3 linked regions of the Rhinolophus ferrumequinum genome follow. The protein of the gene in region 1 interacts with the protein of each later gene in a pairwise test. Links are inferred from orthologs where the notes say so. Each region holds a gene or a part of one and is shown on either strand. Other genes may lie near its edges.

The links.
Region 2: the proteins of DCTN2 (region 1) and GADD45A interact in binary tests that used the Homo sapiens proteins (3 or more experiments, as listed by UniProt). The link is inferred for Rhinolophus ferrumequinum from reciprocal best matches to the Homo sapiens genes DCTN2 and GADD45A.
Region 3: the proteins of DCTN2 (region 1) and CCDC172 interact in binary tests that used the Homo sapiens proteins (3 or more experiments, as listed by UniProt). The two-hybrid records come from large-scale screens. The link is inferred for Rhinolophus ferrumequinum from reciprocal best matches to the Homo sapiens genes DCTN2 and CCDC172.

The regions. Positions count from the first base shown.
Region 1 is NC_046293.1:56,513,911-56,518,603, reverse strand, and holds the start of DCTN2 (dynactin subunit 2), read left to right. Parts: upstream 1-1,841; 5' UTR 1,842-2,125; coding exon 2,126-2,161; intron 2,162-3,043; coding exon 3,044-3,112; intron 3,113-4,693. UniProt on the Homo sapiens protein: Part of the dynactin complex that activates the molecular motor dynein for ultra-processive transport along microtubules. In the dynactin soulder domain, binds the ACTR1A filament and acts as a molecular ruler to determine the length.
Region 2 is NC_046292.1:49,812,272-49,816,964, reverse strand, and holds GADD45A (growth arrest and DNA damage-inducible protein GADD45 alpha), read right to left. Parts: upstream 3,374-4,693; 5' UTR 3,145-3,373; coding exon 3,101-3,144; intron 2,569-3,100; coding exon 2,467-2,568; intron 2,246-2,466; coding exon 2,008-2,245; intron 1,812-2,007; coding exon of another isoform or gene 1,765-1,811; intron 692-1,764; coding exon 578-691; 3' UTR 362-577; downstream 1-361. UniProt on the Homo sapiens protein: In T-cells, functions as a regulator of p38 MAPKs by inhibiting p88 phosphorylation and activity.
Region 3 is NC_046299.1:12,233,336-12,238,028, forward strand, and holds the start of CCDC172 (coiled-coil domain-containing protein 172), read right to left. Parts: upstream 2,488-4,693; 5' UTR 2,429-2,487; coding exon 2,350-2,428; intron 2,143-2,349; coding exon 2,057-2,142; intron 1-2,056.

The sequences.
Region 1 (4,693 bases):
TCGTAGGTTAGGCTTGGGATGGAGGTGGGCAGGAGTAACTTTTGCAAGAGAAAGGGAGTCAGAAAGCAGTGAAGAGGGGGTAGGGATGGGAATGCGGAAGGTCAGAGGGACTATAACATTGGCCTTCTAGGGCAGACATCTGCATTTGGGTTTTAGGCAGGTGTAGGCACCTATGTGAGTGTGTTTCCTGTTGCAGTCACTATTGGACAGAGTTCCTACACCCCAGCCCCTTTCTTCAGGTCTCTTTTCTGTTTCTCTCCCTTACCTGCAAAACAAAACAAAACAAAACAACAACAACAACAAAAAACAAGCCTAGAGATTCCTTGTCCTTCCTCCCCTTAGGTCAGACTCGTGCTGCAGCTCCTGGGCAGAACCATCTAGAAACTGGCTGAATTGATTTTTCTCCACATTACAGGCCTCTGCTGGCCAACAGAGTTAGACTGCAGGAGTCGAGGCTCTAGGCCAAGGGATGGAGCAGGATGATGGGAGAAGGGAGGAGGGGATGGAGGTTCTGCCTAGTTATTGTCTAAGGTCACTTAGACACTATGAGGCAAGAGGAGAGAATGACAGCCTGGCCAGAAAAGACCTAACCACTCAGAACTCAGCTGAGAAGGTTTCCCAAATTGGACCTATACCTCTAACCTACCTTGAATCTTAAGGACACTGAAGGAAAAGGGTCCAGCATAAGAAACTGAATGGGAAAGCAGTAGGACTATGGAAAAGGAGGGGTTGAGGTCTGGGGAGGAGCCAGGAAAGTATGCATAGAATGACAGTGAGTTCCAAACTCAGGAAAATAGGCATCTCTCTAGTCACTTGGTCTGGCACTATTTCTAAGTGTTGCAGCATCCTGCAAGCTCAGAGAACATCCTGGGAAACATCCCAACCTCAGGCCCCCAAGGGCTCCAGGGTGGCTCCAGTGAAGAAGTTTCAAAATGCTAGTCCATGGAGAGTCGCTGGTCAGAGATAAAAGTTTATGGATAAGCACCGCCCCTCTCCCCAAATTAAAAAAAAAACACCACAGTGTGGTTTTTCATAAATCAGGATTTACTAAGTTTCGAAGGACTGTCTTTTTCTGAGAGTATATCCTTCCTACTTTTCTACTTAGAAATGATGGCAATAGTAAGTAGTAGGTTTTCTTTTTTTTCTTTTTAATGTGCTTACTTGGCAAAATGAAGGTAACAATACTGTATCTGTCCTCGCAAACTTTTTGTTGTTGTTTTAATTTTATTGAACTATTAAATTCAAAAGTCTGAAATGGCTAAGAGAACAGAGGATACTCAGATGTAGAGCCACCATTTACCTATTTATGAACTTAACATAGGATTGCCAGGTTTGAAAAACAAAAACAAGATGCCCAGTTAAATTTGAATTTCAGATTTAAAAAAAACACACTAATATATTTTGTGTTATTATGTCCCAAATATGGTGTGAGACATACTTATACTAAAAAAAATTATTAGTTGCTTATCTGAAATTCATATTTAACTAGCGTCCTGTATTTTATATGACAGCTCTAAATTGAGACAATTGCTTCACTTTTTCATTCTAAACGTGACTGAGGCTTTATTAAAGTTTACTTGTTGTTGCTGTTATTGTTGTTTTTGAAGTCTTGGCTGTGCCCCAACATGCCTAGTTGTGTTATGTTTATCTAGTCATTTAACTTCTGGAAGTGCAAATTTATTCATTTGAAAAACAGGAATTATAAAAGCTCTTTTCACAGACGATGTGAAAATTAAAGAAAATAAGTTGAATGCAATAACTCCCATCACTAAGTGGCCTGAGATGGGGATGTCGCCTCCCGCCCAATACCGGGTCGGCCAAGACTACATATCCAACAATCCTATGCGGCGTCCCTCCCCCCGCCGCCCCGCCATTACCTCATTCCCTGGCCTCGTTCTCGCCAACCCTCGCCTCTCCAGGGGTGTGGTAGCGGGCTGTTCTCGCGACTTTTGCTTTACCCTTCTCCTGTGCTACTGCTGTCGCGAGACTTCCTGCTTCTCCGCCTCCTCCGCCGCTCCCTTTGCCGCCGCCTTAACCCGGGACCCGGACCCAGCCTCTCCCCTACCCGAACACCGGCCCCGGCTCCGCCGAGTCCCCGGTCCCCCAACCCCGCCTCGCCGCCGCCATGGCGGACCCTAAATACGCCGACCTTCCCGGCATTGTGAGTACAGGGCCGGCCCCGGGTCCCCAGGACCGCGCCCCCAACCTCCTAAGGACCCCCAACAGACACCAACCCGTGACCCCTCCCGCCTGCAGCCCCTCCTCCGCCCCCGGGCTCCCGCGGCTCGCTCCCGGACGGGCCGCAGCATCTTCCGGACTCCTCTGACCCGACTGGGCCGGGCTTTGGGACGGCCTACCAGGCCCCTCTTCCGGCAGTCGCCGGTTTCTCGGCCCAGAAATTGTCTCCGGGCCCTTACCATTTGTGGTCGAGTGTTTGCCATCCGTGTCAGCACCACCCGTGTCTCCCCAAACCTCCCATCCCCACCCCAGAAACACATACCAGGCTATTTAGTGATGGCCTTTATCCTGCCAAGGCAGAACCCTTCTTGTGCCAGATGGAGAACTGTCCTGGGAGTGTCCACCCCAACCCCAACCTACCTCTCACATGCCGTCATGTACCCTTTTCTGCTGTCCTGCCTGCATTCTTGGAGTGGGGGTTGGGTCACAGGATCATGGGTACTAAGGTCCTGAGTCACTCTAAACCCTTGTGCCAGGGTAGTGGTGTATAGAACCTGATTCAAGGATAGTCCTTCTACCTTTGCCATCATGATTGCCAAAGACCCACCCCCCTTCAGATTCAGGGTAACATCTTTGTCATCACTTACACTCACCATTGACCATCAGGTCCCAGTTGTCCCACTCTTAGCCCCATTCTTCTAAGTCATGGGAACTGATGTGCATTTAACCGGGCAGGTGGAAGAGAAGGGACAGAATCCTGGCATCACAACCTGCCCTCTCTGTTAACTTGTTCGAATGGAATAGGGTCAGGGGTGTTGGTGGATGCTCCGTAGTGAAGCTGGGTGGTCACTGCTTCTACCTGCAGGCCAGGAACGAGCCAGATGTGTACGAAACCAGCGACCTCCCTGAGGATGACCAAGCGGAGTTTGATGCGGTAAGGCTGTGCTGCCTCGGGACTCCTCTGGGCTCTGACCTTCCTCCCTCAGGCAGGCCCTTTCCCATTTCTGGGGGCCACAGCAATAAGCGGGTATGCCAACCCAGCCTGGGTGGTGTGTAGGTGGCGGCGCTTGCAGAGGCCTTGCTGGTCTTGCAGCTGCCAGTGAGCCGTGCCAGGAACTAATAAGACCTGATCCTTGACCTTTGAAATATCTCAAAACAGTTTTGGGACTAGTGATTTGGTTAAGCCCCTGGGTGCGAGCCGTGGTAATGAATCATGAAGCCGAAGCACTTATAAACTGCTAGAGGTTAGGACCTAGACCTTCTCATTCAAAAATATTTCATTTAATACATGTTCATTACCATCCTACCAAGAGCTAGACATGGAAGTATAGAGAAGAACTCTTTTATATGAATATCCAGTATCCGTTGGGCAAGGAGTAAGAAAATAATTTGAAGATTTTAGAAAGAAGAGAGACCTGGTCAGAACAAAACAAATTTGAGGCAGAACACAACTCTGATATCAGCATAGGTGAGGCCCTGGTAGCGCTCAGATCCAAGAAGAATTCTGAGGAGGAAGGAATTAGCTGTGGACCCATTTTAATGAGGGGAACCACTTAGCATTGTTTATTGAATATGTTCATTCTGTGTTGATTTTTTGTGTGTGTGCAATGCAGAGGAAGAAATGTCCCTACTCTCAAGGATCCCCCAGACTAATGGGGGAGTTAGGAAACATAGGAAACACGGAAGAAAAAATAAAATTGAGTGAATGAAAATCAACATAGTAAAAATTCTGTATGTAAGTGCTAAGGGGAACAAAGATCTATTACCATGTCTTGTAGGATGTGTTTTAGGTTCTGTTATTTCCAAAAAGAGCTGGGCTAGGGTTACATGGATGGTGTGAGAGCTCAATAAAGTTGCGACCAGGAGTCAGTGGGAACAGGCTCAGTATGTGTGTCTGTAAGTCCTTTGTCTGTGGGGCTCATTAGTTCTCGAGAATGCTGGTTGCTGGCTTACAATGTATGGCTTGGCGTACTCACTTATTCCTTATTTGGTTTCCCCCATGTGGAAGTGGTTCCTGCTTTGTGGGGTACACCTTCCCATCCCCTCTCTCAGTGGTGTGTGCCTTGTGGCTTCTGTACTTGCTGGCATGTCAGTCTGTCCCCCAAGCCTGAGTATCTGGAGATAACGCAGATGTTGTCGTTGCTCAAGCACCTAGGTGTGCACCTGTCCCTCCAAGAGGTATCTTATTAGGGAGCTGCCTGACCTCACAGGGCAGGAGTGTGTACGCTGAGATCTCCACTCTACTGCCATAGTTCAGAGAATGCTCAACTGTGGCCTAGGCCTCTGCCAGTAAGAATCAAGCCTTCGTGGCAAAATAATGAATGGGACTTTGTTTTTTGGTCACTGACCATGATACAGATAGGTAGTACCACAGCAGTCCCCATTCCAAACCAAAAAATACATTGTAATTTTCTTTTGAAGGTACTGGGATCTCTTCATAAAAAGAAGATGACCCCCATTCCGGGCACGGTAGAACCTGAATGTGCAGCCCTGATTGGCTGCTCCTCTGCTGAGC
Region 2 (4,693 bases), on another chromosome or scaffold:
CACATTAAGAAATTATGCAATTATTCCATACCAGTTTATTGTAGGTACTGTTTCAAAAAAATTATAGCATAAATAACCTTTCATGTCATAAAATAACTTAGTACAATTTATAATAAAACTTTGAGAATTTAACATCTCATCAAAATACAATAAAATATGGTTTTAAAATATGATTAAGCTTTTCTGCTTTTCTTTTACTCGAGGGCATACAAACCAAAAATACCCAAACTACTGCCGCACATTTAAACTTTAACAAAGCATATTTGGTTTAATCAAATGTAACTCAACCATCCTAAATTAATACATAGTTTGTTTTCCTTCCTGCGTGGTTCTTTGTAATTCTTGTTCTTTTTGACTTATATTTCTGTTTCAACAGTTTCCTTCTTCATTTTCACCTCTTTCCATCTGCAAAGTCATCTATCTCCGGGCCCCCAGAGCATGTAGTTGAACTCACTCAGCCCCTTGACATCAATTTCTGTAATCCTTGCATCACTGTAGGGAGTAACTGCTTGAGTAACTACAAAGGTATTTCAAAACTTCAGTGCAATTTGGTTCAGTTATTTTCATTCAGATGCCATCACCGTTCAGGAAGATTAATCACTGGAACCCACTGATCCATGTAGCGACTTTCCCGGCAAAAACAAATAAGTTGACTTAAGGCAGGATCCTTCCATTGCGATGAATGTGGATTCTAGGGACAATTTTAGAGAAATAAATTTACTATTAAAAAAACACTATCAGCATTTGCTAATAAGTACACTATTTTTCAGGGAAAGACACTTGAACATTCTATACTGGGGTTTTGTGACATGGAGACTGGTTACAATCACAAAAATATTTTCTTCCAGGAGGTGGCTGGATGGCTCAGTTGGTTAGAGTGCAAGCTCTGAACAGTAGGGTTGCAGGTTCGGTTTCCACATGGGCCAGTGAGCTGCACCCTCCACAACTAGACTGAAGGACAACTACTTGGAGCTGATGGGCCCTGGAGAAACACACTGTTCCCCAATATTCCCCAATAAAATTTTTAAAAAATTATTTTTTTCTAGTTAGTTGGATTTCCTGCAAAATCATTAAGGGTAATTCTGTACTAAATTATACCCTGCGAAGTGTGAACTCATGCAACCCACTGAATCACATACATGTTTGCATGACAATTATTCAGTTTTGCATGAGTGTCATTCACAGGTTTGTCCTACCAAACTTGTACTGTGGCACAAACCTGAGTGAACAACTTCTGAGAAATATTTCTAGCTGCCCATACAATGAGATGAGAGCTGATAGCAGTTAACTATTACATAATTGCCACCTGTTATCCTCCAAAAAGAAAAAGTTTTTTCAGGAGTAACAAAATAATTGGGCTGCCACTTAACTAGACCAGCCAAAAAGTAGTAAAATATAAAAGACAAAGCTATCACATTTGCCTCTACACCTACAAGTTATCTACCTACCAAAGGTTTTTATCAGGGGGTTAAAAAAAAACAAAAAAAAAGAAACCCTCCACTAAAAAAAAAAAAAAAAAATGCAAGATTGCAGAGAAAAAATTTCCACTCTATCCTCTTTATGTATTTCTAGGGAATTAATGAGGCTTGTCTCCTACACCATTTCTATTTTTAGCTTTGACTGGCAGAGAATGAAGCTGACTCCTTAATGAGGGTGAGCCAGGAATTTATTTGGCTTTATCTAATCTACCCTGCTAAAGGAATTAGTCACGGGAGGTAGTACAGATGTAGGTAGGGAGTAGTTGGGCTGACAGTGCTGACTCACAAGGATCTCTTCCGCTGCTGGCAGCCTCCGACGTGCTTAGGCATGTTCTGTACCAGAGAAAATCCTGATGATGAAACTGGCACATCTCGGCTGAAAGTCCTGCCACACTCTTTAATGGGGCAAAGGCAGCCACGCGCTTGACGGGCACCTATTCTGCAGTCAGGCAGACTGTCCGCCCTGGCTCACTTCCTTCCAGTACTCCGAAACCGCGACGGGCGGGCCCGCAGTTCCCTTCTCCCTTACCGTCACCAGCACGCAGTGCAGGTCTGGGGGCTGCTCCGCGCCCTCGCTCGCCGCGGGGTTCGCGTCGGTCTCCAGGAGCAGGAGCTCCGCCAGCCGGCCCGGGTTGCTGACGCGCAGGATGTTGATGTCGTTCTCGCAGCAGAATGCCTGGATCAGGGTGAAGTGGATCTGCAGAGCCACATCTCTGTCGTCGTCCTCGTCCGCGGCCAGCAGGCACAGAACGACGTTATCCGGGTCGCTGCGGGCAGCGGGAGGGGCGGGTGAGCACAGAGGCGCTGCGGGCCCGCGCGGACCCACCCGGCTCCCGGGGGTCGTGCCCGGACCCGCTCGCTGCCTCTGGGGCAGATGGAAAGCAGCAGGAAGGGGCGCTGCAGGGCGAGGGGCACCCGGCTTGGGCGACCTCTCCGGGTTGGGGGTGGAAAGGGGTGCCACGAGGGACACGCGAGGGGCCCCACTTACACGTTGAGCAGCTTGGCCGCCTCGTACACCCCGACCGTGATGGTGCGCTGACTCAGAGCTTTACTCAGCACTTCCTCGAGGGCATCCCCCACCTTATCCATCCTACACACCGGCAAGAGCAAAGGGTCGCGTCAGCCCGGGTCTCCTCAGAACCTTCGGCGCCCCCTCGCCCTGCACCGCGACCCTCCCTCCCGAGTGCATGAGTCACCGCGCACCTCAGCTTCCTGCAAGCCCGGGGCTACCCCGGCCCCGTCACCCCCCATGACCCCTCGCACGCCCCGAGGCCGGGTGTCCTGTTAGAATCCCCGAGAATGCCACCCGCCACCCCCCCGCCCCAAGCGGACTGCCAGTCCCTGGCGCAGGGCGCAGCCACAGGCTGCCAGCCGCAGGAGCCGCACGACAGGGAGGGTCGCTTCTGCCCTTTGCAAAGGCAGCCTAGAGGGGCTCGGTCGGGTTCGGGAGGAAACACTCTTTCCGTCCGCCGGCGCCCCTCTGGAGGGTTCCCGTAGGGGAAAGGCCGGAGGTGCTCTCTGCAAACTTTTACCCGCTCGTTCCCCAGCAACCTTCCACAGCCTGGTTGCACTTTGGTGGGCGCAGCGAGTGCAAGTTCAAGGAGAGGCTTCGGCCGACTTACCTTTCGGTCTTTTGCTCTCCAGCCGAAAATTCCTCCAAAGTCATATTGCAACTGCAGGTCCCCCACAGAGAGAGAGCGGCGTGCGGGCTGCTCCTGCCACCGTGGGCACGCGGGCGCCGGCTCTGTGCACTCCCTCAGGCCAGGCTCCTCTAGCACCCGCCGCCGCCGCGCGGTCCGCCCCTCTCGCCCCGCTCGCTATCCGGCCCCTCGCCTCGCTTAGCCCAGAGCAGCGACGCCAACACCGCAGCTGCCTCACAGCCACTGAAGGACAAAGGCCGGGCTCACTGGAGTTATCCTGCTACCCTCCAGCCAACCACCTCTCGCCTCATTTGCATACGCGCAACCATTGGGCTATGCAAATCAGCTTGCTCCGACAATTTGACCCCAGCTCCTGGAACAAGGGCTGAGAGGAGCGGAAGGGGGAGGAGCTACGTGGAAGGCGAGCTTAGGGATAGGGGAGGGCGGGGTCCCAAGTAGGCTCTCTTATCCTGTGGAGGGGGTTGGCAGGACAAGGAGGTCTTTGCAGTGGCAAGGAGTAGGGAGGAGGGGTGTCTTCAGCTTGGGCTGCAGAACGCTGCCAAGTGTTTTTCTAGTTGGTGCACATTTTTTTTAATTGTCGTTTCATGTCTTTTGTTTTTAGGGGTTGCTATTAAAATCTATTTTCGGGGTTAATGCACCCAAGTCTAGTAATTATTAGTAAGAAGTTTACATAAAAAAGAGTGTGTGCAGACCTTTGGGGCAAAGTTTACCTCAGAAGTGTTGTTTATGTAAGTCTAGGCAAAGCTGCTTATTAGTAGTAGTATTATTTCGGTGCCCTGATGGCTGGTTTGATTTATTTTTGGAAGGTTGCAAGGGTTGGAAGCTCAAAAAAGAAAAATCAACACATTTGTGTTTGGTCATGGCAGGGAACCAAGTTGGAATCTTTTCCACAGAAAGCAGAAAGGGTTCCCACCTGCCCAGGATAACTCTGGAAAACCATGTTGGGGAGGTTCTGGCTACCACATGTGTGTATCCTAGCCTTACAACCCAAATTCACCTTTTTCAGAGAGCCTTTCCCAAAGGAGGATCCTTCTGCACCCTCACTAGCTAAGAAACAAATGCCTGACACCCACACAAGCCACAAGTCTAAATTCAAAATGCTCTCAATATGCCTTAAGCTTCCTTTCATAAGGCAAGTATGTCACTACCTTCCACAGAGAACCTGTGATCTCACTGTGAATTATTGATGTTAGATGCTGAATCATGAAGCTGTAGCTATAGGACCTTTTAGTCATATGCTAAAATTTCACCTTTGAGATAATCACAACCTGTGGGTAGAAAGCAAGCAGTAGTGACACATTTTTGAAAAGCAAACTTTAATGTACAAACTTTCACTGAATAGGTTGAAAGTTCTTTTCATGTTATGAGTTTATCCAATAAATTTTTAAAAAATGTCTTAAACCACTGAAGTCATCTAACATTGTGAAAATGTCCTCCATATACTTGCATTCAAAACAGTGCTTGCATTATTAGGGTCATTGTATAGTCAAAGGTCACGGAAGTAATTTTTTGCAAAGGTATATGAGAATTTTTGCACCTATATGTTTGTATCAT
Region 3 (4,693 bases), on another chromosome or scaffold:
TATTTGAATCAACATTTTTTATGTACATGTATATATCAACAAATTACATTTCCATTTTCCAGCAAAAGAGGCTGCTAACAAATAAAATACTACAAAGAGCAAACCTAATTTTTTTCAGAGAAGATATTCAAATAGCAATTTTTTTTTTTAACATTTGCTGTCAGGTCAATATCTTCATCAATCTAGGAAAAATACATTTTTGTACAAAAACTTACATAAGTGACCTTCTAAAAATATTGCCCTAAACTCTACGCAAAATTTTCACATACATTATACGTGAATTTCATGGAAAAAAGTTTAAGATGAGCTCAGAAATCTGTTTTAATAAAATATGCTATCGTACTTTCATTATGGTAGTTTGTTTTTACGTTATATACCATGGATAAGTCATGTAACCTCTGGGTTTCCTCCCCTATAAAGGGAGATTAAATGATGGTGCCTTATCACAGAATTCCTGGCAGGATTAAAGGGGTTAATACAGATGTGGTATTTAGATCAGTGCCCAGCATAAAGTAAGTGCTGAATGAGTGGTAGCTATCTACGCATTACCTAACTGTTTTGCCTATTACTTCTAATAGCTTCTAGTTACCAGTCCTCAAAGTATATTGTTTTCTAAAGAAAAAGAAAGCTAAAGTACATCATGACATTTTTAATGCTTTGCCCATCCCATCAGCTTTTAGCATTGTTAACAGCTAGTCTATCTGCTACTCCAGCAAAACAGGACCTAAGATCTTACTGAGTAATGGTTTCAAATTCTATTGTAAAAGACAGCACTCTCCCTATTATCTCATTATTAGCACTCATTAAGTCATTTAAAATGCTAATATATACTAATTGTAGGCATTGGATAAAGGCTGTTGGAATAAAAAAATGGGTAAGAAAAAAATTCCAGCTATATTGCTCACAAAATTGAAAGATACAAACACAAACACAAGTATATATTGTTGCTTAATTGTAAGGTGATGCACTGAATGTTATAATGAAAGAATTTTTCCAAGATGTCCAAGGGAGGGCTTCACACCTGATGCCTGAGCAAGACTTGGAAGAGCAGAAGCTCCCCAGGTAGAGAAAACATCTATAATTACATTATTCAAAACGAGAACTGGAAGTTCCTCAGTGGTAAATTAAGACAGACACATTTTAAGGCAAACAGACTTCCTCAAACAGATTTCCCATTGCACACTGCTTGCTTAGTGATCTTTAGGAGTTGAATAAACATTTTTGTATGACTGTCTGCCCCTGCTCGTAGCAAGGCCTTCATTGTGATATACTTGGATGATGTTCATAGCTCTCATCCTCCCAGAACTCAGAGCGATCTTCTGAAAACCACTTTTATTGCTCTGCTTCCCAATCAAAAACCTGCGATGGTTTCCTCCTCTTCCCAGATATCAGTCCTCTGCTTTGGATGATTTCTCTCCCAATATGCATTAGGTATGTCTCCCTTTCCTTCAGATCCTCCCCTGACCGGAATGTTTCTGTCCTATTAATTTGCCTGTCCAAAACGCATGCTTCAAAATCCTCCTTCAAGAAACCATCAGATTCCCTTGCTTCTATTTAAAACAGCAGAACTTTACAAATGCTGCAGAAAAAGGAGAAATGCTAGTAGAAAAATTATGCTTTTGGATGACAGGCAAGTACAAAATGTGGTAGAGAGTTGAAAAACAAAAGGCAGAGACTCATTTGAAGCTACATTCAATTGTTACATCAACATAGCACACTTCTTAAATTATTTATTATTCAAAATGTACATAGTGCACCAAGTACTTATGGAACAATTATTTTTCCAATGACATTGTCCTCTTTTAAAACGTTAACCATCCCACAACACGGCCAACGAATGCCTTATTACTTAAACTTCTTTCTTTAGGACAAATTCATATTAGAATGGAAGGTGTCACCGGATTCAGAACTTTAAATATTCCCAGGCAACATACAAAATGCTAATCAGGCTAGTAAGCTGCTTCCTACTTGAAGGACAACTAGTTAAATATCTTCCAAAAGTCAAGTTAAAACAGACTTTTTCAAATGATAATGAGCACACTCCACAGGTCAGTACCTTAGTTTCCAACTTGATTTTCTCTTCATTCAGCTCCTCTGTGGCTTTCTTAAGTTTTTCACGGCATCTGTTTATTTCCGACCTGACTGTAATACAAATTAAATCCTTAAACACATCAATGTTTCTCAAGTCCCCATTTCGGTGGCCTGTGAAAAGTCACCTTTCAGCTCTCTGTCCCCTCGACGTGGAAAGCACACCCCCCTAACTGCTCAGTCCACTACGTTGGGGATTTACTTCTGCTCCAAGCTCCGAACTGAAGACGACAAAGGTCCCGTGGAAACGAGCCCACCGACCTTCTCGCATCAAGCGGCGACTCTCCTCCGCCCGCTGCTCCGAGAAGATGATGTGCTGAAACAAGGACTCTAAACTCATCTCCGCACAGGCTCCTGCGGATCCTTTTTTTGCCCTTAAATATTTTATAACCGACTCTGAAGATCCTGGAAAGCACCATAAGAAAGGATTATTCTAAGGCTATTCCCATATCGACGTCCACGTCCAGGTGCCCTGCCCCCAGCAAGGCCGGCCGGAGGCCGAGGCAGGCTGGCGAGAGGCCCCGACGGCCGGGCCGCCGCCCGGGCCGCCCCCTCCCCCCACCCCCGGCCTTTGTGTCCTGTTCTAAGAGACAAACCCCGTTTCTCCCTCTCTCGCGCCCTCGTTCCGCTGGTGAGAACCGCCTCAAACGCGGCCTTTTCCCTGGCGGAACGCAGGTCCCCTCGGGCCAGGCCGCGGCCCCTCTCTCCGGTTTTCTTTTTTGTGCCGGTGGGAAATAAAAACGGAGGCCCGAGGCCGTGGCTCCCGAGCAGGTCTGGGCAGCGGCCCTTTCTGTGCTCAGGCTTTACCTCTCCGGCCCCTCTCTCTGGAGAGAAGGTCCTCACAGGGCTCCGCCTCTCGGTACGACCGGTCCTGACTAACAGTGTCGCCGGCGGAGACCTTCGGAGGCTGCGGCCGGCGCCTCACGTCGGAGGGACGTAAACTACGGCGCCGCCTTTGGCCCATTTGCCTTCAGGTGCTTCTGGTACCGAAAATCCCAGGTTCTGGGCTTGCCCCACAAACGCCGAAGTCCCAGAGACAAGGGTTGGTGCAAAGAAAAGGAGGTTTATCCAAATGCCAGTCTTCCGGGAAGATGGCAGGCTCCTACCTCAAAGGCCATCTTCCCCATTTCTAGAACAGCCAGAAGGTTTGATAGGCCTGTAAGAAGAGGCAGAACAAAGGGAAGGGCGAGTCAAGCGATTCCTGGGGGTTGACGTCCAAAAAAATCGCATCCTGGGGTCCGTCCAGTTCTTTGGGAGCTAATGTTATCTCCACTCAGTTGGAGGGGCGATTCATGCGTCAACTGGTGGAAAATTGCAGGGGAGTTGCAGCCTGGTTGTCCGCTTCTAGAAGTCTAAGGGCTGCAAGTTTCTTTTAAGTCCATGTTCTGGCGATTGACCAGATTAATGAGGTATGTATGCAACCTTGGGAAAACAGAGCAATTGAATCAGGGAGGAAAGGAAGGAAACAAAAGAAGAAAAACGAAAAAGGAACTACATTGTTAAACCTTGCAAAATACACCATCACCCTTACATTTTCCTGTGGCCACGTGTCCCCCAAAGGCCTTAGGCCTTTGGAGTCAGGGTGATCTATCTCGAAGGCCCGAACACCCAGTATTATAAAGCAGGCAGTATCCGTGATTCTAAATATAAACTTTTGCAAAGTCTTATCCTTTGACTATGGCAAAGACTGCTATAAATGTGCAATGTCTGACATTCCGCTTTAATCATTCCTTTGTAATCAGGACATACCTTTTTTGTCTGCTTTAAAATTAATCATTGCCTTTTTGTAATCAAGCTGCAGTATTATTAACACTTCAATATCTGCGCAATATGTGTCAGAGACCAGAGTGGTTGCTAATTAGAGCTTGAACATGAAAGGCACCTTTGGGAATTTTTTAAATTAAAAAATAATTTTTTAGTTTTAGTAGGTCAAAATATTAAGATTATAATAAACATTTGAGTTTATTTCTGAGTGTTAAATTGACATTGCTAAACTTGAAAAAGTAATTCCTAGTTAGAATGTATTTACAACAAAGTAAAAGAAGGTAAATGTAAATTCTGTCACATCGTCTGTATAATACTTAGTTAATATTTCATTAATGCGTAGTATAATTGGTTATAAATTTTAACCTATTCCAAATTTCAAACTTAATTTCCATCAAGCCATGCATGCTTAAAACTTAATTTTTAAACTTTATTTTAAAATACATACTGAGAAGTATAACAAAGTAGAAAAGAATTGCCCACAAACATCTCATTCAGAAACAATAATGCTTCAGTTATTGCCTTCCAGGTAATCATGCTCAGCTTGCATTTTTCCTTTACAAACTTGAAAATATTGTAAGTTATATTATTTGTTACTTAGTATTATTGTTTATTGAGTATTTTCCAGGCACTGTTCTGGACACAATATCCTTTTGAAATGATTTTCACTATTATCTTCATAGTATAGTTGAGGAAACTGAGGCACCGAATAGTTAAGTGTCTTGCCAAGATTGCTTATCTAGTACATGGCAGAGCAAGATCAGAAACCAAGAAATATGAGATCAGAGGCCATGAATTTAATTTTAGATTCTGCTCCTTTTCCCTCTTATTACATCACAAG